Macaca mulatta: one gene and its partners. The protein of the gene in region 1 interacts with the protein of each later gene in a biochemical or structural test. Links are inferred from orthologs where the notes say so. Each region holds a gene or a part of one and is shown on either strand. Other genes may lie near its edges.

The links.
Region 2: the proteins of ACVR2A (region 1) and SYNJ2BP form a complex in vitro, tested with the Homo sapiens proteins (2 studies listed by BioGRID and IntAct, with this or other methods). The link is inferred for Macaca mulatta from reciprocal best matches to the Homo sapiens genes ACVR2A and SYNJ2BP.
Region 3: the proteins of ACVR2A (region 1) and BMP2 form a complex in vitro, tested with the Homo sapiens proteins (3 studies listed by BioGRID and IntAct, with this or other methods). The link is inferred for Macaca mulatta from reciprocal best matches to the Homo sapiens genes ACVR2A and BMP2.
Region 4: the proteins of ACVR2A (region 1) and GDF2 form a complex in vitro, tested with the Homo sapiens proteins (2 studies listed by BioGRID). The link is inferred for Macaca mulatta from reciprocal best matches to the Homo sapiens genes ACVR2A and GDF2.
Region 5: the proteins of ACVR2A (region 1) and BMP7 are reported together in a solved structure, tested with the Homo sapiens proteins (2 studies listed by BioGRID, with this or other methods). The link is inferred for Macaca mulatta from reciprocal best matches to the Homo sapiens genes ACVR2A and BMP7.
Region 6: the proteins of ACVR2A (region 1) and ERBIN interact in a test that uses a peptide from one of them, tested with the Homo sapiens proteins (2 studies listed by BioGRID and IntAct). The link is inferred for Macaca mulatta from reciprocal best matches to the Homo sapiens genes ACVR2A and ERBIN.

Annotation. Positions count from the first base shown.
Region 1 is NC_133417.1:52,892,749-52,897,260, forward strand, and holds part of ACVR2A (activin receptor type-2A), read left to right. Parts: intron 1-639; coding exon 640-783; intron 784-1,803; coding exon 1,804-1,949; intron 1,950-3,619; coding exon 3,620-3,734; intron 3,735-4,512. UniProt on the Homo sapiens protein: On ligand binding, forms a receptor complex consisting of two type II and two type I transmembrane serine/threonine kinases.
Region 2 is NC_133412.1:143,543,228-143,547,739, forward strand, and holds part of SYNJ2BP (synaptojanin-2-binding protein), read right to left. Parts: intron 3,841-4,512; exon of another isoform or gene 3,294-3,840; intron 3,112-3,293; exon of another isoform or gene 2,921-3,111; intron 2,626-2,920; coding exon 2,489-2,625; intron 1-2,488. UniProt on the Homo sapiens protein: Regulates endocytosis of activin type 2 receptor kinases through the Ral/RALBP1-dependent pathway and may be involved in suppression of activin-induced signal transduction.
Region 3 is NC_133415.1:77,222,950-77,227,918, forward strand, and holds the start of BMP2 (bone morphogenetic protein 2), read right to left. Parts: upstream 3,074-4,969; 5' UTR 1,771-3,073; intron 531-1,770; 5' UTR 524-530; coding exon 178-523; intron 1-177. UniProt on the Homo sapiens protein: Growth factor of the TGF-beta superfamily that plays essential roles in many developmental processes, including cardiogenesis, neurogenesis, and osteogenesis. Induces cartilage and bone formation.
Region 4 is NC_133414.1:61,457,182-61,461,077, reverse strand, and holds the end of GDF2 (growth/differentiation factor 2), read right to left. Parts: intron 3,882-3,896; coding exon 2,938-3,881; 3' UTR 1,113-2,937; downstream 1-1,112. UniProt on the Homo sapiens protein: Potent circulating inhibitor of angiogenesis. Signals through the type I activin receptor ACVRL1 but not other Alks. Signaling through SMAD1 in endothelial cells requires TGF-beta coreceptor endoglin/ENG.
Region 5 is NC_133415.1:110,054,894-110,059,902, forward strand, and holds the start of BMP7 (bone morphogenetic protein 7), read right to left. Parts: upstream 3,093-5,009; 5' UTR 2,979-3,092; coding exon 2,561-2,978; intron 1-2,560. UniProt on the Homo sapiens protein: Growth factor of the TGF-beta superfamily that plays important role in various biological processes, including embryogenesis, hematopoiesis, neurogenesis and skeletal morphogenesis.
Region 6 is NC_133411.1:74,026,631-74,031,770, reverse strand, and holds the start of ERBIN (erbin), read right to left. Parts: upstream 3,528-5,140; 5' UTR 2,512-3,527; intron 1-2,511. UniProt on the Homo sapiens protein: Acts as an adapter for the receptor ERBB2, in epithelia. By binding the unphosphorylated 'Tyr-1248' of receptor ERBB2, it may contribute to stabilize this unphosphorylated state.

The DNA of each region.
Region 1 (4,512 bases):
GTGGTACCTCTCACTATTACTGTCTTTTAGTAGTGAAAAGAAACTAATCTTTTATAAGAAGATACTTAGTAGACATGGATCGCTTGCAGGCACAAATGAATATATGGTGTCTTAAATTATTGCATTGCATATGTATGCCCCTTGCTTTCTCATTGACTTTGCAGGGTATGCTAAACATTTTTTGAAGGATGTTTGATATTATGTTAGTTTTTGAAAAGAAGATGTTTTCTATTTAGAGGAAGTCATTCTGCCTGAATTTCATCTTTCAAGGAGATTATTCTGAATAGTACCACAAGTAGCTTCACACCATGATGAAATTACAATGTAATACTTGCAGTAACTTATGTGTTGCCATTGTAAGATACAGAATGCAGCATTTCAGATCAACTTCTGTGTTTGTAAACTAGAAACACAGAAAAGTACGTTTTGAGGGAATGGACAGGGCAGGCATTTCCTATAAATTTGTTAACCTATTGTCAGAGCTTTTTTCTTATTACAAAACAGAACAAAAATTTTTTAAAATACTTTTTTGTTTTGTTTTGTTTTGTTTTACTTTGGAACTTATTTGAGTAATCTCTTAGACATGGTTTATTTACCCGTATTCCTTGTGTTCTTACTATTCTTTCTTTTTGACTCTAGGACAAACAGTCATGGCAAAATGAATATGAAGTCTACAGTTTGCCTGGAATGAAGCATGAGAACATATTACAGTTCATTGGTGCAGAAAAACGAGGCACCAGTGTTGATGTGGATCTTTGGCTAATCACAGCATTTCATGAAAAGGTAAAACTATTTAACGTTTTACTTTAGTAAAGTCTGAATTGGCCTGCGTACCTAATGTTAGCTATAAATCCCTCAGCGTTATTTTTCGAGACATGTTATAGTTGATTAATATTTAACCTGAAAATAAAAATCATTCTTGAATAAAAATGTTTTAAAAGGTAGTTTATTTTAATAAAAGAGCAAAGATGGCAAATTTTCAACCTAAAACCCTACTCATATAAACCACCCTTTTGTTCCTTATTTCTTGTGCTGTAATTACTCTTACAAACATTTATTTTAGTATAGGTAATGCTTAGTAATTTTCACTTACCATTTACAATTCATTTTGATTACATGAACCATTTTTTTCAGTTTTAATCAGTCTTGCTTAGTGACAAAACCAGAGTCAGGAAATTTATCTCATCTTTGATCTGTCACTAACTTGCAGGGTAATTATCACCAACACATAATTGCTAGTTTTCCTCATTTTTTCTGCTTTTAGAGTCAGTGTGAAAGTACCATTAATGAAGTAGGAAATTATGTTTTTGGTAATTGGTTTCATCATTGTGAAATGTAAGTGGTTCTTTTACTTCTGTTAATTCTTGACCTAAAGGACAACAATAATCTCTAGAAGAATATTCTATATATTAGTTGTTGTTTTATGTTGTTATTTTGTGTTCTGCTAGTCCCACGATGTAAGAACTCTATAGTCAGGATATTTTAACTATTAAAATATTTTCTAGAACCTTAGATATTCAGCTAGTGTTTAAAACAAAAAACTTCTCTTATGGATTGGTGGAAATTGACTATTCTTGTAACAAAAGTTTAAAGCTCTGGTATTTCTTTCTGGTCAAATGTTTATTAATGTGAAATGGAAGGAAATTTTAACCATTCCAGAAAGATTGTTTCTTGGATATTATTTTTCCCTGAAAGGAAAGATAATGCTGCCTTCCACAACTTCTTATAGGTAAAAAGAAAAGTCTCCTTATACATACGGCCTTTGTCAAGAATGTAAGTTTCTATTTTTCTGTCTTTTTTTAGGGTTCACTGTCAGACTTTCTTAAGGCTAATGTGGTCTCTTGGAATGAACTATGTCATATTGCAGAAACCATGGCTAGAGGATTGGCATATTTACATGAGGATATACCTGGCCTAAAAGATGGCCACAAACCTGCCATATCTCACAGGTAGACTATATTTGTATTGTTTTCCCAGGTAATTGAGTATACATTTACTAAACTTTTAAGCCCATGGGTAAGTTTTAATTTTTCCTTTGTTATTCAGTCATGCTTTACAAGACAGTTGGTTTTCATTTGTTTTTTAAAGTTAGCTTTGAGATTGGCCAGGAAGTATTTTGGATAATGTATATATTAACATTATTGGTAAAGTTTAATGATCTACTTCATCTCATTTCTGAAAGCATGATTGAAAATAAACTCTATTTTCTCAATCTCAAAGGAAAAAGACATTTGTTTTACCTCAAAACGTGATATACTTTAAAGATGATTATAAATAGGGATTATTATCCAAGGGCATGTAATGAAGGAGAGACTTTGAATGTCTCCCTTGCTTGTTTTTTGAATGACCTTATTATCTTTACCCTGAGCCAAGGTAGAGGGCGGCATCACTTAAACAGTTGTCCAGTGAAGAAATAGTTCTTAGACCCAACACTTGTCATGCCCGCAAAAGGAAAAATGATTGCGTCTTAAACATGGAATTCAGTTTGCCATGTATTTAATTTTCTTGAACGTGGGATTCAATTTGTCGTCTTGTGTTCAATTTAAAGATGGTTGTTTGAAAAGTAGGCATTAACTGATTCATGGAACAGGTACTTAGCTGAGTGCCACCAGGTGATGTTTTAGGTTGCTGGGAGCCATTATTGTAAGTCAGCCTCTAATTTAAGTTCTGATTTTGCAAACTTTAAATGACGTCTACCTCAGAAATAACTCTTTCTTCTCACTTTCTTACATGCAGTCTATTGGCCTCTTCTTGGATTTTCCCTTGCTCTACCTGGCCACATAGGGAATTAATCCTTAAGAATCCCCAGAGTTATTAAGAAAAGGTCCTGAAAGTCTTTTGAAACTAAGATTGATTGGCTTTTATAGCATTTGGGAGTGTCTACTCTTGCTTTCAATATCCCATTCTTGGTCTATGTATCTGTACGTAAATTTAACCACTAGTCATGGCATAGATGTATTTAATTAGGGTATAGTAATCTCTAGGATGAGCCAGTTGAGACAGGTGTGTAGAAGAGGATATCTTATTGCCTTAAAACTGTTACCCTTTTCAGAACACCAGGATCTAGCTAGAGCAGTGTATGTTTATGGTAAAAAGTTTCTATTGTCCATGCCGTAAGATGCTTTTCTATAACTGGGTGGAAGAATATAAGAACCTCTATAATAAGGGATTATTCTAAAATGTAGGTCTGTACCAATAAACAGAAGGCCTCAATTCAGCAATATTTTAAAAATTTCTTCATTTTGGTTTAAATTTCAGTTTCTATGGGAGTTTGCAAGTAAGAACTCTAAAATATTATCTTAGAAAACAGTAGTTTTGTGATTGGTAGGTGGGTGACATAGGTAACATATCTTTTTGACATGGCAAATGTTTATATAACTGCTTTATAGATAGGATTCCTTCTTATTGTCCATGTTATGAATAGGAGTTTGTCACTGTGCTCTTGTGTTAAAGGCTACATGGGGGCTCTGAGCTTTTTCTTTCTCCCTTTCTCTGCATTTCATAATTTTAAGTAACTATTTTTTCATAGTGTACATATTCCCCCTCTTTTCTGCTTTCAATAAAAAATTTAAAACGTAACTTGTCTAAACTTAATTTGAATACTCTTTTTATTTGCAAGGGACATCAAAAGTAAAAATGTGCTGTTGAAAAACAACCTGACAGCTTGCATTGCTGACTTTGGGTTGGCCTTAAAATTTGAGGCTGGCAAGTCTGCAGGCGATACCCATGGACAGGTAAGGACGATGATTATAAAATATAAGAAAAAATAAACTTGTCCCATATTTTCTTAGAATGGCATGTCAGGACTGAATTAGTCTAAAATTGTTGTGGTGGTTAAATCAGCATCTAACAGTGTTATGTGTTAAAGTTTCTGAGGAAGACATTTTCATACGATGGTAGAGGACTCAGGTGGTTTAGATTAAGCAGTTCATAAAACAATAACTTAGACACGTGTCGTAGGATTGTTTTTGAAAAATTGATCAAAGAATAATCCAGCACCTTTTAATAGACCTCATTCTTAGGGAATTCTTCGTATGAACTTAGTAGTTTTAGTCTGTTAGTTCTTTCACCATATTAAGAAGAGTGGAAGAATAATTAGTCACTATCCTTACCTACAGTGTATTAAATTCCCTGTCCATTTTCCCATGCAATAATAGTTTATTGCTTCTTGTTGTTTATTGCTTCATTCATTTCTTTAATCAACGTGATGGCTTTTCTCCAAATTCTCTCCAGAGTTCAGAGCACTTGTAAACCCCTGAATTAGGTAACTCTGACATCTCTGTATGCCTCTATGTGCACAGAGATCTTAGTAATAGGAACCTCTAGGAAGGCCAGAAGGGAAAAGAACATTATCCATACATTTTATTCTCAGAAACTTTGAGGCTGGAAAAGATGTTTTCATTCCTACAAGGTCACCTTTTATTTTTATTTATTTATTTATTTATTTATTTTTTTTTTTTTGAGACAGAGTCTCGCTCTGTCACCCAGGCTGGAGTGCAGTGGCATGATCTT
Region 2 (4,512 bases), on another chromosome or scaffold:
CTCAAATAGTTCTCACCATTCTCATTTTGCAATAATCTACCTTTAACCAAAGCTTTTAAAATAATATAGCTCTCTTCTTTCTCTTCTTAACTCCTATTCTTCATCCACAGAGCCCAGATTCCAGTGTTCTGAGGATAATGTAATTTATGTGTCAAAATATTAAGCTGCATAGATTCTAACTACATGCTACACCTTTATTTTAACAACCCACTCTCAGCATTTCCTTACAGTACCACTGCCAAGTTGATTCATATTGGATGAATGTCTTTCCCTGGGAGCTAAAGGAAATAATCTGCTTCTAAACTTTTCACTATCCTTTTGAGAAGACAGTATATTATCACTGTCTCCATCTCACAGATTAATAAATAGGGTCTAGGAGAAGCTTAACGGATGGAAGAGAGGCAAAACAGTCAATGAGAAGGACTGAAATACTGTGGTGCTTGATACTATATTTATATTATAGATCAGCGAGGACACATGCTTAGACATTCTTGAGCTAATTTAGGTGGCTCTAATAGCTACTTGTTCTGATTTTCTTTCTTTTTTGGGGACTAAGTGGAGTCACGGTCTTCCTGAAGAGGCATTCAGATCCATACTGCTGAGCCTGATCACTCAAATACTCAGATGCCAAATGAAGAGAAGATGGATGTTCTTTCTCTTTTCCTTTGTATCTCTGCCTTCAGGTACTACTACCAAATGGGCTGCATGGCAGAGAAGTGTTCAGTAAGCTGGCAACTAAGAAGAGCAAGAGATTTCACACGTATGACCTGTAATCACTAATCACCTGAACTGCATGAAAAGTGAAGTGAAATTCAAATGAAACTATATAGCAAAAAAAATTTAAGGGATGAAGCTAACTTATTATAGAGGTAGGTTCAAAATCATGTCTCTGAGACTAATACTTAATTCTGTCAATCAAGACTTCTCCTGTCTATACTTCATTCATTTATTTCAATCTTTTCCCAACCTGGCCATCCTGCCCTATTCAGTTCTAAAAGAAAACAGGGAATAGTTTTCTCCTCTTCAGACCGTGGGCTTATGGCCCATCTGGAGAAGACAGGAGCTTCTGCTTAGGAGCTTCTCCTATGAGAAGCCCTATCCTATTTCAATTTCCTTTTATTTAAGTCTAGCCCTTTGAAGCCAGCTCTCCCAAGAATATTCTAGATAATATCTCACACCCTCAGCATTTTTCCATTCTTTATACCAACCATCTGTACTGTTTCCATACGAGTAATAAGTTGGCCATTTTTCACTAGTCCTGAAAGTTAATAAAAAAAGAAATTCTACAGAATAATTATCTCCAATCTACACCTCCTTATCCCCCAGCAACTGATAGTATCATAGGATTACTGTGACCTATGGTAATGTGGAGAAATGAACAATAGGGCCAGAGTTATATTTTGCATTTTAATAGTTTTTACTGTAGGCTTGTTCTAATTTATTTTAAGACCTGAGGTCTGTGGGCCCGTATTTATCAGCTAGTCTTTTTAGGTTTGCCTGAATTTCTTAACTTGTTCATTTCTTAAACATTATTAAACATTGCGCTATGATTCAACATGTTAAAAAAAAGATCTTAGGCCAGGCCCGGTGGCTCACGCCTCTAATCCCAGCACTTTGGGAGGCCGAGGAGGGCGAATCATGAGGTCAGGAGTTCGAGACCAGCCTGGCCAACATGGTGAAACCCCATCTCTATTAAAAATACAAAAAATTAACTGGGCATAGTGGCAGGCACCTGTAGTCCCAGCTACTCAGGAGGCTGAGGCAGGAGAATCACTTGAACCCGGGAGGCAAAGGTTGCAGTGAGCCAAGATCATGACACTGCACTCCAGCCTGGGTGACAGAGCGAGACTCCATCTCAAAAAAAAAAAAAAAAAAAAGGATCTTGTCACTCCCCTTGAGGAAATTCTAGAAAAGAATAAGATTAATAATTTCCATGTAGTAAGTCTTGGTAGAGACATTAGCAGGATGAAATGGGAACACAGTGGACAGATACCCAAATCAACTGCATTCCAAATTTTCATGTTAATAATGGGTGAAAAAGGGCTCTGAGTCTGAAAAGGACACTTAATTCCAACCTTCCTTCTTTCTGTTTTTTGAAGTTAAATCCAATTATAAGGGCTGACATTCCCCCAAAGGAAGATACACATTAGTGTTTTAATCAACAAAAGGAGGCAATGATGGATGAAAGACAAAATTTGTGGATTTTATATCTCTTTTCCCCGTATGAGTCCCTCGCTGCTTCCTGCCTCGTGCTTTTTGAACAAGTAACTTCACATTCTGGGCTTCACATTCTCATTTATCAGGTGAGCATAATATTGCCCTCCATGCTCAATGATAGGGTTGGAAAGAATGACTGATCAGAGTTGCTCCCATTCAGCTCTATAATCTGTATATTTCCAGACCCAAATCTTTCCAAGGAAAGGGATAGGGGTAGGACCTAGGGCTTAGGGAGCAAAGGACAGTGAAGGAGGCCGAAGCCCATTCTCACCGAAAGTATCTTATCACCCTCCTGGAGCCGCCCATCCAGGGCCGCAGCCCCATTTTCTTTGATGCGGCTGACGTAGATGCCACTGTCGTTGGAGACATACTGCTGATCTGTCCCACCGACGATGTTGAAGCCCAGCCCTGAGAAAATCATGGAGGAGTAAAAAGATGGGGGTGAAGAAGAAAGAAAGGGATTAGAGAAGATGAAGAGAAAGGGAGGAAAAGCCTACTGGGCAGGAAAGGCTGATGGAGAGGAGACGCTGGCGAGTCAGGCTGTGATGGAGCTGGTGAATGGTCATGAACAAGGTCAGCAGTATCAAGAGTATTGAGTTGCTCACTCAAATGAGGCACAACTGAAAATATAAACACAGTGATTCACCTGTTTTGTTGAATATATAAAGAAAGATATATATAGAACTTAAAGAGTAATGGTGATTACTCTAAGTTCTTTCTTTTTTTTCTTTTTCTTTTTTTTTTTTGAGACAGTCTTGCTAGGGGGCATAGTGGCGGGCGCCTGTAATCCCAGCTACTCAGGAGTTCATAACTCAGTTTCCCAGGCTGGTTATGAACTCCTGGCCTCAAGCAATCACTACTGCCTTGGCCTCCCAAAGTTCTAGGATTACAGGTGTGAGCCACCATGCCCAGCCTACATGTAAATTCTTCTACTCACATTTAATTTTGATCCTGTTGATGGTATTCAAAGGACCCAATTCCTGACATTCCTGATATTACCACAGCAGGGTTAGTTGTGTTCATGAGAAGAAGCTATGCATTTTTACCAATTATCAAATGAACTGTTCCTAATTTAGTGTGAGAGATTCCTAACCATACCTTCCCTTCCACACTTTCCTTCTCCCAAGCTTCTGGAGAATTTATGTATGATAGTGCTTTGGAAAAATCTCTTGAGAGTTTCATTTTTTTTTTTCTTTCTATTTTGGTTGGTGGAGGCAGTGGTGTAGGTATTGGCAGAGAAACCTCAGAACCAGAAAGGTAACTGCTGTTTCATGGTAGGACTAAATCACCAAATTTACCTTCCCTTCCTTTGCTACTTCAAGTACAACCATATATAGGTTGAGTATCCCTTATCCAAAATGCTTAGGACCAAATGTGTTTTGAATTTTGAATCTGGGGGATTTTGGAACATTTGAATTAAACTTACCAGGTGAACATCCCTAATCCAAAAATCTGAAATCTGAAATGCTTCAATGAGCATTTGCTTTGAACATCATGTTGGCCCTTAGAAAGTTTTGGAGTTGGTGCAGTGAGCCGAGATCGCGCCACTGCACTCCAGCATGGGTGATAGAGCAAGACTCCATCTCAAAAAAAAAAAAAAAAGTTTTGGAGTTGGAAGCATTTCAGACTTCAGATTTTTGGATTTGGGCTACTCAATCTATATTTGGGTATAGTAATTGACAAGTTTTATTCACTGTAGAAAAAACTGACTACTCATTGATTAGCAACTCCCCAGTTCTTCTTCCCTAAGTCCTTGGAAACCACCATTCTAATATTTGTTTTTATGAGTTTGACTATTTTAAACACATATAATTTTAGTTATGCAAGATGAATCAAGTTCTAGAGATCTGCTGTACAACACTGGCCTATAGATAATACTATATTGTACACTGAAAAATCTGTTCAGAGTAGATCTCACGTTAAGTGTTCCTACCACAGTAAAATAAAATATTTTTAAAAAGAAAAAAGAGAAGGAAAGAAAACTGAGTATCAAAGTGCTATTTCCATGGACCAACAACTAAGTGCTAGAAAGGATTTCACTGTACAGAAACCATTGTTATGAAGGGATTTTACCTATGCTTAAAAAAAAAAAAGGAAAAAGGAACTTCCCTAGGGTTCTTAATGTCAGCTACTGGTAGAATTCAGGGCCATAGTGTAAGAGAAAGGAGATAGTTTGGAAACAAGAACCAAAAATCTGGTGGTGCAATTGGAAGGAATAACCATAATCACCAGCCTACACTGGTCACAATAGAAAAGATACTTAAAGAGACATATGCGGGGCGGGGAGGGGGCGGG
Region 3 (4,969 bases), on another chromosome or scaffold:
CACCACCACACAAGCAGTGAGTTAAAATCAGATTCAGAAACCATAGTACAGAAGCAAGAGTGGAAACGTCCGCTGGCGCCCTGGCTAAGCTGCCTCTATAGGGATGGCTGCAGTCTGCCCACGGTGGAGGGCTTTGCAGGGTGACTCCCCGCCCCCACGCCCTGCTCCATGCCTCACCTTCATGGTGGAAGCTGCGCACAGTGTTGGCTCGGCTGGCTGCCCTCTCCAACCGGTGGTCTGGGGCAGGTGAGCCCGGCTGACCCGAGTGCCTGCGATACAGGTCTAGCATGTAGGGGGGCACCACGGCGTCCCTGCTGGGGGTGGGTCTCTGTTTCAGGCCGAACATGCTGAGCAGCCGCAACTCGAACTCGCTCAGGACCTCGTCAGAGGGCTGGGATGAGGGGCGGCCCGACGACGACGCCGCGAACTTCCTGCGGCCCAGCTCCGGAACGAGGCCAGCCGCGCCGCCCAGGAGGACCTGGGGAAGCAGCAACGCTAGAAGACAGCGGGTCCCGGCCACCATGGTCGACCTGCGGACAGGACCGACGTGAGTCACCCGAGCTCCCCGCCCAGTCCTCCCCCCTCGCGCCCCCGCGGCCCGGGCTCCCATTTGGCTGGCGTGCCTCCTCCAGGGTGCCCTCCTGGCTTGGCACACTCGCGAGTCTAGGTAAGACCGACCGAAGCTCAAATGTTTGGGATAATGAAGGGCCCCAAGTTCCAGAACCAGGTGATTTATCGCTCCCATCCAACTCTTAACTTGTCTAACATCAGATTTGGGGTTTGCCCTCCCCTCCCAACCAAACCAGCGCCAACGACTGTCACTTTTTTGTGTGTAACACAGCGCTGACTGCCAATGCTGGGAACCTGGGAGAACCACCGCTTGGTCTGACACCCTGCGTCCCCTATACAAACCCAAATGCAGAGCGCTGAGCGCTCTCTGGCATATAAACACACACAAATGGTGCATGTGACTTCCTTAGAGGCACTGTATAGAACTTCCTGACACACACACACACACCCCTATAACTTCCAGACCCTGTAAGCTCAAGGCCACAACTTCTGAAGCCACTTACAACTTGTGTCCCACGCCCCTACACTCAGGGGTGTCTGGAGAGGCAACTCCATCCCGCATCCCCGTAGTACGGTCAAGATACTCATGTATCTTCCTGGGATTACATACATGGTGAATATCTATTAATGCACGTGTCAGCTGTTAAAAACACAGCACCAAGTGATTCTTCAGTACTGACCCCTCGCATTTCTGGAAACAAGAAGGGAGAGCCCCAACTCCTAGTACTTTTCTCAATGGGATAGGGCTCTGAGTAAAGAAACCAAGTCTCCCAGAAACACTAGAAGAAGGGAGAGCGCCATGGCAGGGTGGACAGGTTCTCAGCTAACGGGTGAAACCCAGGGGCTACCCTCTCAAAGGGATTTCTTTGACTCAAAAAAAAAAAAAAATTAAAAAATTTAAAAATTTAAAAATTTAAAAATAAATAAATAAACAAAACACCTCATCTAAGTGTTAACAGCTCCAAAAGTATTCCGGGGAGAGGGTAAGAAAGAGGGGTGGAAGAGTGCGGGCCGGGAGGGTGAGGCTGATGGTCGCCCGGGACAGCTGGAAGGGGGCACCCCGCAGGGCTCCGTTGCACGTGGACTGGAAAGGGGTCTGTTTACTTCTGGCCTGGACGTAAGGAAGGGCTCTGCCGCAGTGGCTGCCCAAATCCCCCTCCCACCTACCACCTACCCCGGCCCCTGGGCCGCGTCCTCTACCTTTAGGAGACCGCAGTCCGTCTAAGAAGCACGCGGAGACACGTCCATTGAAAGAGCGTCCACATGGAAAAACTCTGGTCAAAGGACCTGGCGCAAGGACCGAATGTCCGTTCCTTTCCTTTGCCTCCTCCTTCTCCCGGGTGCCGGCCGCGCAGTCTCTTTTCACGCTGGGAACAGCGTCTCAGTCTCGGGCAAGGCCGAGGAGTGGAGGGGCGGTGGGGCTCGGAGGTGGCGAGGCAGGCTCCGCTGGGGCAAAGGCACCGGCGCAAAGTGGGGAGCTCAAGTTATTCTCCCTGCAAGTTCAAGAAGTCCCCAGCCAAGTGCTGACACACAACAACAGCGAGCAGGGGGAGGAGTGCGGGGCAGGGAAAGGAAGGGAGAAAGGAGAAGCTGGTGCTGTCGTCCTCCTTAGGAACCAGCGCCCGAGGGACGCGTGGCCCCGCGCGGGGCCGGCTCCAGGACTCAGGGAGCGAGGGTCGGGCGCTCTGCGCTAGCTCCGCCGCGGCCCATGGCTCGGGGCAGCCATCCTGGGCGACGCCGGGTCCGGGGAAGGGCACGGCGGCGATTTCGGTGCCAGGCGAGTTGCCCCCCCGCATCACTCTGCCTTACTCCAGTGCACCCCCATTCGCGCTCGCCAGTTGAAAGCACCGCGGCTCTGGCGCCCCGTCGTCCTCGGGCGCATTCTCCGGCGAGTCGAGCCAAGTCCCGGGCCGCCGAGGCGGGTGGTTGTGCTCTCTCCTCTCTCTCCTAACCCTGGGGCCAAATGCCCTTTGTGACTAGCCTGGGGTCCGATCACACCTCGGCCGGCGCTTCCCAGGCCCCCGATCTCCTGCAGTAGGTGCCCCGCATCGCGGCGCTAGGGATCGGCTCCGGAGTCGCCGGCGCTCTGCGCGCCCGTCCGCGACTCTGGCGCAGCCGGGGCAGCAGAGGCCACGGCGCTGTGGCGCGCTCTGCCGGGTGCTCCAGCCCGCGCGGGGTCTGCGGCGCGCGGATGCCTCGCGGTCCCCGGTGATCCGCGCGGCGCTGGCCCCGAGAACGTTCGGGTCGCCGGCGGAGGCTGTGGCGGCAGATGTGCGGCGGAGGCTGCCAGTCCCCGGCAGGGTGTGGGAAGCGGAGCGACTAGCGCAGCGCGAGCCCGGCGCAGCGCGGCGGGGCGAGGACTCCGGCGGCGACGGCGGCGGCGGCGCCGTGGCGCGGCGCTCGCGGCTTTTAAAGGGGACGCCGCCTGCCGGCTCCCTCCCGGCCGCGGCCGAACACCTCCCCCTTCGCGGCGCGGCTCGCCGGGGATCCCCGAGCGGGCGGGAGCTGCGCGCAGGGGTGTGGACGGCGCGCCCGGGCAGCCGCGGCGGGGTGGGGCGGAGGGCGGGGGCGCGCGGCCGCCAAGGGGGGCGCTCGCGCCTCCACTCCCTGTCCTCAAAGGAGAGATCAGCTGGCGCGCCGGACCCTCGCGGGGACTCCGGAGGCGAAATCCAGGACAAATGCAGGGTCAGGGTCTGGCTTCTATTTCCCCTCTGGGCCCGTTATTCAACTTTCAGTTTGGAGTTTTTCGATAATATACAATTTCAAAAAACAAAACAAAACAAACACCTCAATTACAGCGCATTTTGGCATAGCATAGACGTCGGATTCACGCTTCTGTTTCCCCGGAATAGGAGGAAAATTAAAAGAAAACAGGAGGCTGGAAATTGAGTGTTTTTAAACATTAATACAAAGAGATGTATGTATTTACATATGTAAATGCATGTGTACAAATTTCCTTTTACATAAATATGTGTGTGCATTTATTTTCATATCCATATGCATGTTACAGTTATATAAATATATCCAATATACAAAAATATGTACATATATTTCTATATATTCATATATGAGAACATATGCAACCGAAGGTAAACATTTCGGTAAATATATGTCTACGTGTGTGACATGGATGTCATCCTGCTTTACGTGACATGTGTGTAACGTAGACTGTGTGTGTGGCAGCCTGAGGGATGGATGGGAGGGATTTGATTTCTTTTCATGGTACAACCACTTTGTGCCTTGTGATGTTTATCTCACCCAGCTCAGAGGCAGGCGATTAACAGCTCAGAGGAAGGTAAAATAACGCACTGTGTGAACCAAGCATACAGGACAATTTCAGTTTGGGACCTTGGAACCTTCTACTCCACCCTCTTCCATCAGGCCCCCAAGAAGTAGGGCTGTGACACGTGGCCAAGTCACTCCTCAGCTGAATATTCGCTCAAGTCACTCCTCAGCCGAAACATTCCTCAGAGCTGCTGCACGATGAGTCTGGGGCCAAGGCTTTCTGGCCTTCCCTGGATTCCAGGAGCCCCCATGCACAGCACCTCGGGCTTGCCCAAATGATTCCCGAAATCAAGGGCAGAACATTTTTGGAAGAGGCCACGGTCTACTTTCCCAGAGCTATCGGGCCTGCAAACCAGAGAGAAAAAAGTCAAGCGGGAGCTGGTAATAAAACTATTATCCATGTGTATTATTTTTTCGGTGGGGGAGCTAAAATAATACCAGGTTCCGCTCACGTAAATCGGATTAGCAACCCACAGAGGCGAATCAGGCCCTTGCTGTTTCTAAAGGTATGAAGGTCAAATAAGGTATTTTGGAGGAAGCCTGACTACCAGGAAAATAAAACGGGGTGGGGGGAATTATTCAGGAACATGCTACTTTATTTCCTGACCAAAAAAAAAAAAAAAAAAAAAAGTGCTATAGAAGTTGATTGTCACTCAGAGTCACTGGACCGCAAACAACTCGGCGATGAAACGTATTCTACTCCTAGACACAGGCTTCTGAAACTATTTCCTTTCCTATCAAGTTTAATTAAGAAGTTAACAGTCGTTTCTGTCATTACTTAGATTGCAAAAACAAAACAAAACTTCAGTGAGATTTAAGTAGCCTTTAAAGATGAAGACAAGTTGGTAACTATTGGATGCACCCGAAGAAAAAATAAAAAATAAATCTCCTGGGATGACATCAAGGATGTCTTGCAGCTTTAGAACTTCATAACTTGCTAAGTGGAAGCCTTGTCAGTTTAGAATCTGAGGGAGAATGGGCACTTCTGAACACTGTTTCATGTTAGTGTTGCCCATTACAGAATCTCTTTTATGTAGGGTGTGTGATTTCTGAGGAATACTTACTGAATGCTTGTCCCAAGCACAACTTACATAAATTTTGGCCCAATTTTTTT
Region 4 (3,896 bases), on another chromosome or scaffold:
AGAGTGCACACACATCACTCACCCTAGCGTGCACACACATCACTCACCCCAGTGTGCACACATATCACTCACCCCAGTGTGTACACACATCATTCATCCCAGAGTGCACACACAACACTCACCCCAGTGTGCACGCACCACATCACTCACTCCAGTGTGCACACACATCACTCACCCCAGAGTGCACACACATCACTCACTCCAGAGTGCACGCACATCACTCACCCCAGTGTGCACACACCACATCAATCACCCTAGTGTGCACACACCACATCACTCACCTCAGAGTGCACACACATCACTCACCCCAGTGTGCACGCACCACATCACTCACCCCAGTGTGCACACACATCACTCACCCCAGTGTGCACACACATCACTCACCCCAGAGTGCACACGCATCACTCACCCCAGTGTGCACGCACCACATCACTCACTCCAGTGTGCACACACCGCATCGTTCATCCCAGTGTGCATGCACCACATCACTCACTCCAGTGTGCACACACTGCATCGTTCATCCCAGTGTGCACGCACCTCATCGCTCACCCCAGTGTGCACTCACCACATCACTCACCCCATTGTGCACACACATCCCTCACCCCAGTGTGTACACACATCACTCACCCCAGAGTGCACACGCATCACTCACCCCAGTGTGCAGACACCACATCACTCACCCCAGTGTGCCCACACATCACTCACCCCAGTGTGCACGCAGCACATCACTCACCCCAGTGTGCACACATCACTCACCCCAGTGTGCACACACATCACTCTCCCCAGTGTGCACGCACCACATCACTCTCCCCAGTGTGCACACATCAGTCACCCCAGTGTGCACACACATCACTCTCCCCAGTGTGCACGCACCACATCACTCTCCCCAGTGTGCACACACTGCATCGCTCACCCTAGTGTGGACGCACCACATCACTCACCCAGTTTGCAGACACCACCCACCTGCATCCACCCAGCCCTGAGGTGGCTGCCTGTCCCCTCCCCTCTGCCTCCTTAGGAAAAGGAGGCCCATCCCAGTGGGGTCGGAGGGTGGGGTAGGCAGGGTGTGAGTCTACAGGGTCCTCAAGATTGGGTCTCACATTAGGAGGGGCTGCAAATTAGACATTTGACTTTATTTCCAAGTGAAACTTTCAAGCAGGCACAGAAGCACAGCACCAGGACTGAAAGAAGATGCTCAACACCCAACATGGAATAGCATTGTAACACCACACTGCCCGGCATGTAGCAGGAATTCATATTTTCTCTAACACCAGTAATTAAACAAGAATGTTGTGTTGTATATTTGTGTTAAAGTTGTTCATTGGTTCCATGTAAACATTTAACATAACACTTTCCCCACCCCCCACTTTTTTTTTTTTTTTTAAATAAACGGGAGCTTCAACCATGGGGAGAGGCACTGGCTTCTCTAAGCCTCCCCTAGGCCCTGCTCTGGCTGGAGGTCAGAGGGCCATAGGTGCACTCTTCATCACTTTCAGATTCTTCCTCACACTGCCCCGTTCCATGTATGGCCAGGAGAGTCAGAGGAGAGGGTGAAACACAGAGCAAATGGAAGCCTTATCATCCCTTGGGTTCGGGGAGGCTGAATCTGGTCCCACAATCCGAGCCCAGGCGGGGTGCTGGGATGCACGTGACTCAAGAGAGCCGGCAAATGCAGGCAGAGCCAGTGATCGCCGATAAGGACTGCAGCTCTTCCGAGGCTGGGGAGGCCTCGCCCAGGAAGGCTGGAGTCTTGTCACTTGAGGACATGTCACCAAGGATTAAAAATAGGTATGTTTCAAAGACCAAAGCAAGAGCACATTTAATTCCAACAAATTCAAATCCAGGCCCGTCTCCCCTGGGTTGTCGCTGGGGGGCACCCTGGGCACCACATCCTGGTGGTCTGGCTATGCTGAGTAACTGCAGAAGTGCTGGCCACAGGCTACCCCCTCCCTCAGGAGAAAGTGTGCCCAGCCCTCTCAAACGGTCACATGGTATCAGTCCATGGACAGTGAGTGGCCCCGTGTGCACCATTGACCGTGGGAGCACTGCACCAGGGGGTCACAATAGCTCTGGCCACAGTGTATCATGCAGCCCACAGGGCTGCTGTCCTGACCTCTCTCTCTGTCCTGCAGTTGGCCTGGGGTTAGTTTTTCAGTGCCTCAGGGGTGATATTAAAAAGCATTTGGCCGCTGAGTGAGCACTGGCAACAGTGGCCAGACCACGCCCTGTATGTGACAAGTAGCCCAGTCACACTTGTGACTGATGGGCTTCAGCCGGGCCCGGCCTCAACACTCCTGGGCTCCCAATGTCTCACTGCTCTTTAGCTGGAGAGGACCTGCTTAACTGCAGCGGGGCACTTGGAAAGATCCTGGGCTTTGGTGTCCCACAACTCTGGGTTGGAATCATGCCATTGACCAATGCTACTTGATCTGCCTGTGTTTCTGTCTCTCTGTCTCTAAATTGGAAGCCATGCCCCTCTAACTGGATTGTAGGAAATAACATGCAGTGATGGGTGTGGCGTGCAGCCTGCTCCTTCCCTCTACTCCCCAAGGGTTTTGGAATAAGCCAGCCTCCTCCACCTTTCTAATCTCCATCAATCTCTGCAGTCACCTGCCCACCTGTGCTCCTCTGGCTCACTGCTGTTGTTTTCTGTTGACTCTGGATTACTTTTCCCCTTGTCTCCTTTTCATCACCTCCTTGCACCCCAACAACCCTCCCAGGCTTTCCCGTTGTGCTCAAATCCCCATTTCCTTAGCCTTCCCTGGCAGTTGAGCTCAGTGGTGTATGCTTTGGTTGGGGGGTGGGGAGGGAGAGCAGGCTCCCTTTCCTCCTCCAGGCTGGCATGCAGATAGAATCAGTCCTTGTTGTGCCCAGGGGGATGCAGGACCTCTCATGTGGAGCCCCTTTGGCCTGCCTCCCCAGCCCCGCAGGCAGGTACTACCTGCACCCACACTCTGCCACACTCATGCCCTCGTAGTGGTACTTGAGGGTGGGCACTCCCATGTCATCCTTGTAGAGGATGGAGATGGGGCTCAGTTTGGTGGGCACACAGCAGGCTTTGCCCACCTTTGTGGGGAACTTGAGATGCACCAGGGTCTGCACGATAGCGTGTTTCGTCGGCGTCACATCGTCAGCCAAGGGGAAGAAGCAGCCACCCTTACACTCGTAGGCTTCGTACTCCTTGGGCGCAATGATCCAGCTGTTCCAGCCGATGTCCTCGAAGTTTACCCGCAGGGAGGTCTTCTGACAGTGGCTGCCAGCCCCGGTGCTCCTTTTCCGCCTGGCTAAAGTCGACCCCACAGCCACGTGGCCATCTGCGTCCTCCTCGTGGCTGCTCTCACCTGCCTCTGTGGAGCCCTCCTTGGACAGCTTCTTGAGCACACTCTCTTGCTCATGGCTGATCATCTCCCTCAGCTCCAGCCTGGTCTCCTTGGTCCCACTGCTGTGGTCATTGGAGAAGACGACAAAGAAGGGCAGGTTTCTGGAACCTGGGGGGACACTGATGTCCAGCTTGTCACAGCCCTTCCTGTGGCTCTCCACAGTCACTTCCAGCTTATTTTTGCTCTTGGTGGAGTCGGACCGGACCCAACGCTTCACGGCGCTGGACACTTCCAAGGTCTCCCAGCCCTCATCCCGAATGTCCTGGGACACCAGGAAGGTCTTGGTCTCCGCAGCACTATCCCAGGCATCTGTTCCATCCAGAACATCATAAATGACCATGCTTCCTTTCAGGTCGTGAGAGTGGTCCATGTGATTTTGACAGGAGACATAGAGTCGGAGCTCAGCTCTGGTGATCTGCTCGTGCCTGGGAATGGAGATGTTGAAGAGCAAGATGTGCTTCTGGAAGGGGAAGTCCTCCGTGGCAGTCATGGAGATGGCATCTGAAATGCAAACAC
Region 5 (5,009 bases), on another chromosome or scaffold:
CTAATGACCTCGAGTTTAGGGACAGAGAGAGAAAGAAAACAAGGTCAGTGCACTCTGTTAAAAGCCACTCTGCCATCTAATTTGGAGTGATGTCCCAGAAAGCTAGACCTGAGAAAGTCAGGGTCCCACAAAGCCCAAAGCCAGCCTGACTGATTAAGAGGCTCAGACAAGCCGGTCTTTGTCCTTTCAAGATGAAAGAAATGGATTGAAAGGTGTGTGTACAGCCAGAGGAGGAAAACCACCCAGCTGTGGCCTTCCCAAACAAGTCCCAGCTTGCTCCTGCCGCCATGGGGGAAGCAAATAGCCAGCACCAAGGTTCCCAGAGGCACCCTCCGAGCAAGCTGGTCTTTCTCTGGGGGACAGGGAGCCCCTGGGGCCTAGCCCACACCGCCGGCCCATAAGCAGTGGCAGCTTTTTTGCTCTTGGTTTGCAGGGCCTTCTACAGAAGCCGGAGATTACAAATACCTTTTTAATGACCCCAGCCAGGCTCTGAAGGCAGCCGCTGGGATCTGCACATTCAGTGGGAGTCCAGGGTACCCAACAGAATGGAAGATGCCATAAATCCCCCACCAGAGAAAGGGCCTTGGCTAACCCCAGGCTTCAGGAGGGCGACAGAGCTCTGCGTTCATTATTTGTGTGTATGTATTTGGAATTTTCCTTTAGTTTTTGGTATAGTTAATAAATACGCATTGTTTTTTTAAAAAAATCACCAATACAGAAGTGCAGACAATGAAACATTAGACCCCAGCTCCCACTCCCTAAGCCCCAGCTGTGCCCCCACCTCTCTAGCCCTCCAGTAAAATCTCCAGTTCCTGGTGTCTTCCTCCAGGAGGACACGATGATACACAAAAGCATACATGCAGGCCGCTCACCTGCACCTTGCTTCTTTCCACCTCATGCATCTGGGAGATGGTTCTAAATCAGGTCATATGTTGCTGCTTCCCTCTTAACTGGCTGCTTAGTATAATTTAAACTTTCTTGAAGGTATTTTGGCATCTAAACCTCCCACCCCTTGCTCGCTGAAGCTTGGCTCACTAGCTGGATTTGGTTATTAAGTACAGACAATGGCCTCCCCGGGAACTCCAGGGACCTTATCAGGAGGGGGAAGCATGAAGGCGGATCTGCGCTTCCCCGCGCCCCCAGTCCACGCCCCAGGTGCCCAGCGTGGGGCTTCAGTATCATTATTTCCATGTTGACACAGCGCCCGTGGGCGTGAGTTTGCTGTCTTGACTTGGTTCGGGTTTTCGCAGCAAGTTACACAAGTAGAATGAAAGCGCTCAGGAAACAGCGCTATCCGGGCGTGTTATCTCGGAAACCAAATATTTGATCATCAGTCCCGCAGAGCGCTGCCGGGGGTTAGTTTGAGCAAGTCTGGAGAATGAGTGCGCGCAGACGGAGGGGGAGCTCCCCGGCCCTCGCCGCAGCCCCAGGCTCGCGTCCCCGGGGTCGTCGCGGCTCCAATCGTAAACCGGGACCCCCAGTCGCCCCCGCGGCGTCAGCTCGGAGATCCCGCGCAACCCAATCGCCAAAACCTGTGGTTTGCGCGCCACACGTGATAAATGCTGAAAATGGATTCTGCCGGCCTGAGACCTACCACTAAATATTTAAAATAGAAAACTAGAGGCAGGGCACTGTGGCTCACGCCTGTATTCCCAGCACTTTGGGAGGTTGAGGCAGGAGGATCACCTGAGATCGGGAGTTCGAGACCAGCCTGACCAACATGGAGAAACACAGTCTCTACTAAAAATACAAAATTAGCCAGGCGTGGTGGTGCATGCCTGTAATCCCAGCTACTCGGGAGGCTGAGGCACGAGAATCGCTTGAACCCGGGAGGCAGAGGTTGCGGTGAGCAGGGATTGCGCCATTGTACTGCAGCCTGGACAAGAAGAGCGAAACTCCGTCTCAAAAAAAAAAAAAAAGAAAAAAGAAAAAAAGAAAATAAAAGAAAGAAAAAAAAGAAAAAATAAAAGAACGCAAACTAGCAAGCTCCCCAACTCCAGCCAAGAGAGAATGGGGCATCCGGCGGCCCGGAGAGGGGCCCCAAGGCGTTCGGAGCGCGCGGTAGGCTAAGGCGGGCGCACCACTAGGGGACAGGTAGGGCTTGTCAGGGCGGGTAAGGGAGTGCGACGGCCGAGATGCCAGGGCCAGGCAGGGCTGAGAGGGGCCCAGGAAGGGCGGGAAGGCAGCCTCGCCGGGAAGGGCCCTTTACATCCAGGTAGCGCGAGCCGCGCCAGCCCAGGACAGCTCACATGACCAAGCCCCGCGCTTTGAACGGCCGGCGCCTCCAGTCCCAGAGATGCGGCCGGCGGCGTAACATGGAGGGGACTTCCGAAGATCCCTCCTTCCCAGTAACCCCCACAGGCCCACCGAGCCCAGCGCGCCAGACCTGGAGGCGCACACAGCTTGGGAGCCATAGGGCTGTGGGTGGGAGACCCTCGGGCAGGCACTGCGATTTCAACCAGGAGCAGAAAGCTGGGCGGGCTGTATAGAAGAAGCGGCTCCCTCCCTCCCGGTTTCAAAGTGCCCCCGAACAGACACGCGTACCCCCGCCTGCCCTTACCGAGGTTGACGAAGCTCATGACCATGTCGGCGTCGGTGAGGAAATGGCTATCTTGCAAGCTGGCCAGAGGGGGGCCCTGGGTGCTGAAGACGGCCTTGTAGGGGTAGGAGAAGCCCTGGCCGCCGGGCCCGCCGCCCTCCTCCACCGCCATGGCGTTGTACAGGTCCAGCATGAACATGGGCGCCGAGTTGTGCTTGCCCTGGAGGTGCGGGCGCGGGCGGTGGGGCAAGCCCAAAATGGAGAGGATCTCGCGCTGCATCTCCCGCCGCTCCTGGCTGCGGAGGCGCCGATGGATGAAGCTCGAGTGCACCTCGTTGTCCAGGCTGAAGTCGGCCAGGGCGGAGCGCAGCAGGAACAGGGGTGCCCAGAGCGCCACGAAGCTGTGCGGCGCCGCAGCGCGCAGCGAGCGCACGTGCATCGCGCCGGCTCTACGCGCGACCCGGGCTCCGGGCTTCGGGCTCCGGGCCCGCACCGCCCCAGGTGGCAGAAGGGGCAGGCGGCCGTTCGCGCCGCTCGGTCACTTGCTGCAGACGGGCCCCGCTGCGCCCGCGCCAGACATGGCCCCTCCCCGGCCTGCCGCGCTCTGCCCGGACCCCCGCCCCCTGCTGGGTGCTGGCCCCGGGCCCCTCGCCCCGCACTCGCCCGGGCGCACCGCCGGGCTTGGAAAGCAGCCCCGGCGAACGAAGAGGCGAGTGAGGAGGCGGGCGCGGGTGGGAGGAGCAGCCAGCAAGCCTAGGAGTCCAGAGAGCCAGTGCCGGGGAGGCAGCGAGGAGGCAGGCGGGCGGGCTAGCGCTCCTTCTTCCCGCTCCTCTGGCGCTCTCGCCCTCAGGCGGCGGCGACCCACCCTCTTCCAACCTCTGGCGTGGAGAGCAGGGGCCCCGGGGCGCTCTCCCAGCCCTGCGCGCCCTGGATCGCACAAGAGGCCGCCTCTGGAGCGCCAGAGTGGTACACGCTGGGGCCTGGGCGGAGGAGGAGGAGGAGGACGGGCTTCAAGGGGCCCCTCCCGCGCCGGCGGCCTCCCACCTGCCCTCGGCCCCGCCCTCCCCCTAGCTGTGCCCAATGGGTTCATTCATTCCCTCTAGAGCGCTCGACAAATGTTTACCGAGTGCCCACGGGGTGCCTAGAGCCTGGCGGGACGTCGCGGGGATGCGGCTGGAGGAATCCAAGCCGGCCCTGCCCTCTTGGCACTCGTGGTCCGGACCAGGAAGGCGGCTCGAACGGGACCGGTGGGCTGCGGGCCGCGGTGGGAAAAGTTGGGGGAGCGCGGAGGTGGCGCGGAAATAGAAGGCTTCCTGGAAGCGGTGACCCTTGAGGCGGTCTTGCCCCTTAGTCCCCGTCTCCTTTTAAGCTAGCCACGCTGACCCCTCCGCGCCTCTCTGAACCGGTTGCCAGCTTGTCTCTGCGCTCGCCATTCCCTCCGCCTGGACGGCTCCCGGCTCACCACCTCCCGCCCCCCATCAGACCCTGCTTTCTCCCAGAGACCTCCAAGACCTGCCAAGCTGAGGTTGTTTCCTCGCCTCACCCCCACGTACATTTGTTTTCTTTCCTGTAATTTCTCTTGCTGTCTGGAATTGTTTGAGTTACTCCGTGCCGTCTTTATTGCCTTCTTATCCCCGCTAGACGCCCAGCGCACTGAGGCCAGGACCAGCGATCTTCTCCGCAGCTCTGGTGCCCGCAGTGCCTTGAACCTAGCGCCTGGTAGCCACTGTGGCTGCGCAATCACGATTTGTTGAGTGAATAAGTGAACTTCGTTTGAGCTGGGGGGTTCTTCCCACTTTCTCCTCTAAGGGGCCCTGTATCTTTCCAGCCACCCCTCAGCCTGAGACCAGACACCCCAGCCCCACCACTAGGGGTTCCCATCAGCCCTCCCCGCCTGGGGAGCCAGCCGCTGGTCTTCGCATCCTCTTCCCCTCCAAGGGTCTGTGCCTGAGACCTCCCCATCAGCCTCCTCTCCTGCCTCTCCTCATCTATTCATCCCTCAATCAATACTGAGACATGCACGCTGTCACAGGGAGTCCCCAGACCACTCAGAACCTACTGGTCCCTCTGCCAGTGTGGGATCTCAAGGGAATTACTGCACCCAGAGTGGCAGTGAGGGCAGCAGGGTAAAAGTTCATCCTGTCTCCTTCCCCTGCTGGGGCTGGGTGAGAGAGGATCCCCAGAGGGGCTCTGGGATGAACTGGGAAGGGCTGAGGTTAGGGAAGCGGGTGGGGGCAGGGGGGTTGTCTGGGAGGGGCTCTGGCTAAGCCTCACTTTGGGGCTGTCCTTCCTGGAGCACGAGAGCTGGGGAAGAGAATTATGGTCTTCGACAGTTTTCTGGAGCAGAAGTAGTTTGGCCAAGTGGTCCTCTGGGTCTCCCTTGGGGGCTTTTGGACTAGATGGCAGCCTGAGGAGCCACATGGGTAGAGAAAGGGGAGGCCAGAGGCCAGGCAAGGAGCAGAAAGATACC
Region 6 (5,140 bases), on another chromosome or scaffold:
AAAGCAGCTTAAAATCTAAATCATATTATCCATAAGCAATTATTTCAAATAAGTAATTTTGAAATACCTATTTTCTGAAACTTTTAAGCGTATTTCTTAGAGGGTACTATTTACTACTAATAGTTCAATACCAACAATGTCTAAAATAATCAGTTTTAGAGATTTACCAACGATATATGTGAAATGTATCCATAGTTATCACTTCATTAAGAGCATACAACAAAAATTTGGTTTCCATGTTTGTACCTCTATAAGTTTTTTATACATAAAGTTTACAAGAGTTTGATCTCAAATGGCAAGGAGACTTCACAACAGTACTACCTGAATCAGTCGAAGTCCTGAAAATTCATGATTACCTTCAATAAACAGAGCCTTTAAGTGTGCATTTTGTGCAACATACACTTTGGAAGCTCTCTCTATTTGCCATTTAATCTTAGAAAATCCACACCATACTAAGAAGAATATCCAAATTTTGAAGCCATTTAAAAATATTTTAACTGATGACTGTTCTTTTAACCTCTTTTTAAACCTTTGTCACAGTTTAAACAAGGCTTCGAAAATACTTACAGTTTGACAGTAGTATAAAACCTAAAATTTAAGTTAATTCAGTGATAAACTAACAGAATTCCAAGAAAACTACAAGTACATTATGCCTTGTTGAAGAGAAAAAAAGAAACACAAAGGTCAACACCTCACTTTATAAAATGTGTTGTCTGCATCGAAAAAAAAATCAAGGACTAAATCTAAAATTAGAGGTTTAAAGTCATTTTCAAGTGCTACAATACTGTTTTTATACAAAATTTACTAATAAATAACCATCTTCATAAAGCGATAATTCTCTATAAAGGACTTGCTCTATTAAGGTTTTGTTGCTTTTAAAGCCAAGTATAAGCCATATTAGGAAACTGAAGTTCAATGCCATTTATTTTGTTCAGTTCTTTCAGATGCCCAAGAATAAACTCTTTTGCAGCCTAATGATACGTTCCAAAATCATAAAGTATACGAGTTATGCACTTTAAATTCTTTGATAAAGCTAGTTTGACTTAACAGGAATTACTCGATGGTTCATAAATCTTAACAACAATGAAAAAAAAAATCTCCTGAGACCATGCCCTGGGGAGGAAAAAAAAAAATCAAAACTACTGTAATAAATAAAAGACTGCCTTTGGAGATGTACTTAATGAAGCTGAAGTAGCAAAGAACAAATTGTGAAATAATTTGATCCTGATCTTTAAAACCTATTTTTTCTCTTTGAACTAAAGAAAATCAACTCTCTCTTCGGGTTTCCGGTCATTACGTGAGACAGTACAGGCGATCTAAACATCAATATATATTCAGGATATACCTACCAACAGGTTACCAAATTTATTCAATATATATTCAGAACTACAGTATTGTATTTCACCTCCCTGCACCAAAAAGCTAAACAGAAAAAGACTAAAACACCACTGAAAAAAGCTTTGGGTTTGCTGCTATCAAAACTAGTCCCCATTGGTTCAGAAGTGTTCATAGCTCTGACTGGTGGAATGTCTGCCATGCTTCATGAATCCTGTCCCCACAGATGTAGGCAGAACCTACCACTATTTATGCAGAACCGACCAAAAACATTTGGGCCAACACAAAAATGTAAATACCATACTACTCAAAAAGCATAGCTTTTTATCACAATCACTGTGATTCCCTTGAAAATCGTTTCAAGCGTTTTACTTCCCTTCCCATATAGTCTGTTCTGAACTGCACAGAAGTCCTATCAAACGTCTTACAGGTTGTTGTTATTATTGTTTAATTATGTCTCTCTCTTTATTATTAGTCCTTACTCCTTTTTTCTTCGTAATGGATCAGTTACAAGAAAAGTCTAGTCGATACTTGCTTTCAATTAAACAAGTTATACAGCGCTAAACGTCTGAAAAAAAACAATTACACACAACTAAAGAAATATATTACCCTGAAAAACAACTAAGAATGGCAAGATTTTTTGGTTTCTAAAATCTAACTAAATATACTGATCATAGTTGGAAATAAAACAATAAAAACCTCTATATACGATTAACGCAAGCGCCAATATAATCGGTAGGAGTATAAACAAACGCGGCAGCCATCTCAATAACAGCAAATCACTCGCTGCAGCGACCAAACTTTCTTCTCAAACAGAAGGTACCAGGCTGAGCAACTTAATATACACTCTATACGTTCCAGAAAGCCAAAACTTCTGGCCCCTGGGAACAAAGGCACTCCTTCTTCGGATTGCTGAAAACTTTTTGTCCCACCGCATTCTTACAACCTCTTCCAAAAAATCCAAAGTCCAGATGGTGGGGCGGGGAGGGGGGAGAGGGGAGACAGGGGGGTTGCAGTTCGATTATTTAGCCTCTCAATTATTATCCGCTTCGATATGAAGAGAGGAAGATTTAGGGTAACTTGGAGAAAAGTGAAAAACACTAAAAGATCATCTCTTTTCCAAGTCACAAAGTCCCATGAACTTTGTGACTCAGAGACACTTTTCGTGAAAATTACCTTTCGGCGCGACAGCGTCTCAGGGCAGCTTTTTCAAGGCTTCGCTTGACATGATTTCCTTGCCTTCATTAGTCACTTTGGATCCAGCTGAATTTCTCTCTCGGGTGAGAGCGGATGTGGACTGGCCTCCCGCAGAAGAGTAGGTGGCTTTGGTGGGGGTTGGGGTGCGGGCTGGCTTCCTGGTCTCTAGTTTTGCAGGAGTTTCCCAGCCCCAACTAGGATCTCCGCCGAAAAAAAAAAAAACTTTTCACTCGTGACACTGCCCGGAATTGCAGTGCGAAACTCACTTCCTGCCTTGGCGAGAAGCAGAATCCAGCTCCGTCCAGGGGAACCCGGAAAACCAGCTCAACGCGCACCGGGGAGGGGGAGGGGAAGGGACAGCCGCCGGGAGCCTCGGGCTCCGGGCAACCGGCGCGCCCCGCACACCGGACGGCAACGGCACCCGGCCGGCGGGGGCGAGGACACTGCCCGGGCGCTCGGCGAGCCTCGGCTGCGCTAGGCCGCCACCGCTTCCTCTCTGCCGCCCCCAGAGCCGGGCGGCAGGGTTATTGTCTCGATAGAGCTTGCCGCGCCCTTCGTCCGCGACGCCGCTGCCGCCGCCACCCGGAGCCGGAGCCGAGGAGTCGGGCAGGCTCAATGGCGGCCCCCTGCCCGGGCCGTCCGTCGGGCCGTCCGTCCTTCCGTCCGTCCCTCCCCGCTTTCCCTACTCGCCCTCGAACCCTCTTCTCCCTCTCCCGTTTTCCCGCCGCCGTCCCTCCGCTGCCCTGCTCGTTCTCCTTCCCCAGCGGCGGTGGCTCCCCGAGACGCGCAGGGGGCGGGAGCAGGCGGCAGCTCTGTCTTCTCACGAGCTTGCGGGGCCGCGGCAGGGGCCGAGGCTGCGTCCCGCGCCGCCGCGCCACATTCACTCGGGCGAGAGACCGCGAGGGGAGGGAGGATGGAGGGAGCGGAGAGAAAGGAGGAGGAATGGGGCAGGGGCGGAGGGGAGTTACTGCCTCACAAGCCGCGGCGGCAACAGCGCCACCGCCCCGGCCGCGACGGGTGAAGAGGCTGCGCGCCGCGGCTCCGCGGCGGGGGCGGGGGCGGGGCGGTCTCCCGCCGGCTTCGCCCCAACCGCCAACAGCCGGGCAGGAGGCCGGCGCGGGCCAGTCAGCGCGCGGGGGCGGTGCGGGCCGACGTCGGCGGCGGGGGGCGGTGGGCCGGGGGCTGTGGGAGGGGCAGCCGGCGGCCGTGGGTTCCCGTGAAAGGCGAGCCGTGAGGCCCGCTCCGGCCCAGGCTACCCGAGGCCTGTCTCCCGCCCGCTCCCCGACCCCGCACTCCCCCACTTCTGAGCCCCCCAAGGTGGGGAACGCTGGCGACGCCGACCCTGCTGTCTGCTAGCGGCCCCGCGCCCAGCCAGGGAGATAGCCCACAGGCCTCCGCCGCCCCGGCCGATGGAGTTTCTTTGTACGACAGTAATCGGTGCACAGGGGTTGTTGGAGTCCAGCCCTGATTTGAAGGCAGCAGGTATCTTGCAGCTGCAGCACTCCACCTTCCTCTAATGGCACGCTCAGGTCGCAGGAAACCACAGCGGCAGCGCGGCGCAGCTTCCCACGCCCGCCCTTCGAGCTTGTTCCCCAACGGCGCAGCTCAGCCTCCTCCAAGTCCCAGCCTGACACCGGCGGGGAGACAAAGCTGGCGCTGAGAGGGGAAAAAGGGCCCGCGAAATGGCCTCAAGATCGTGCCTTTGTTAGAGGAAACATGGGTACGCTCCGATGCGACGCAGGCTTCCAACCCCAGCGGTTGGGTGGTGGTGCAGTCGTTGAATTGCACTGGCCCTAATAATTCAGCCTGGCAGGGTTTGCGTTTATTGCGGAGAGAGACTCTTAAGCATTCTGTCAACACATATGGCAAATAGAAAGCCTCAACCATAACATTGTACAGTTTTTGCAGTTCTTGCTTTAAATATGTTCACAGAAAAGACGGCCTTGTTTTACCCAGAGAAGGAGCGTATTGCGGAGCAAACCATTCGCCACCCCCATTCTCTGCTGTACTTAACTGTGTACAGTGATGATAATTAGCCTGTGGGTCCCTGAAGTCTCTGGTTCAGTTCTTCCGTCTGTATTCCAGAGATAATTATTTATTACCAAGTTTGAATAAAGAGCTATATCCCCTACAGACTTTTTTTTTTTTTTTTTTTTGGCTTGCCAATGGAAAGAGTTCGTAAATTCCACCAAGTAATTATTTATCAAAATGAGTTGACGTTAGATACAAACACTTGAAATAACGCCGAAGATATTCAAGTTATTTTATTCAGATTGGGAGCATTTTTAACTACTTGAAGAACTGCTGGAATTAATACAGGTATTAGGTTATTTAGCATAGAGCAGAAGTTGAAGATTTACAGGTAGTACTGAAGTGTTCAGATATATTCAGTGCTGAATTAGAGGTAAGAGTATTCGCTGGAAGCTAGGAAATGACAGTAGCTATGCCAGTGTTACCAAGCTGGATATCTATTTTATGTGAAAATGAATCTTAACCATTGCATAAAAAGCTAAAGTTAACATATTGTACAAGCTATTTGTAATCATCGCTAGGAAGATTTCTTGCTCCATTTTCAAAAACCGCTTTGTGTCTGATCAGAACTCAGTGG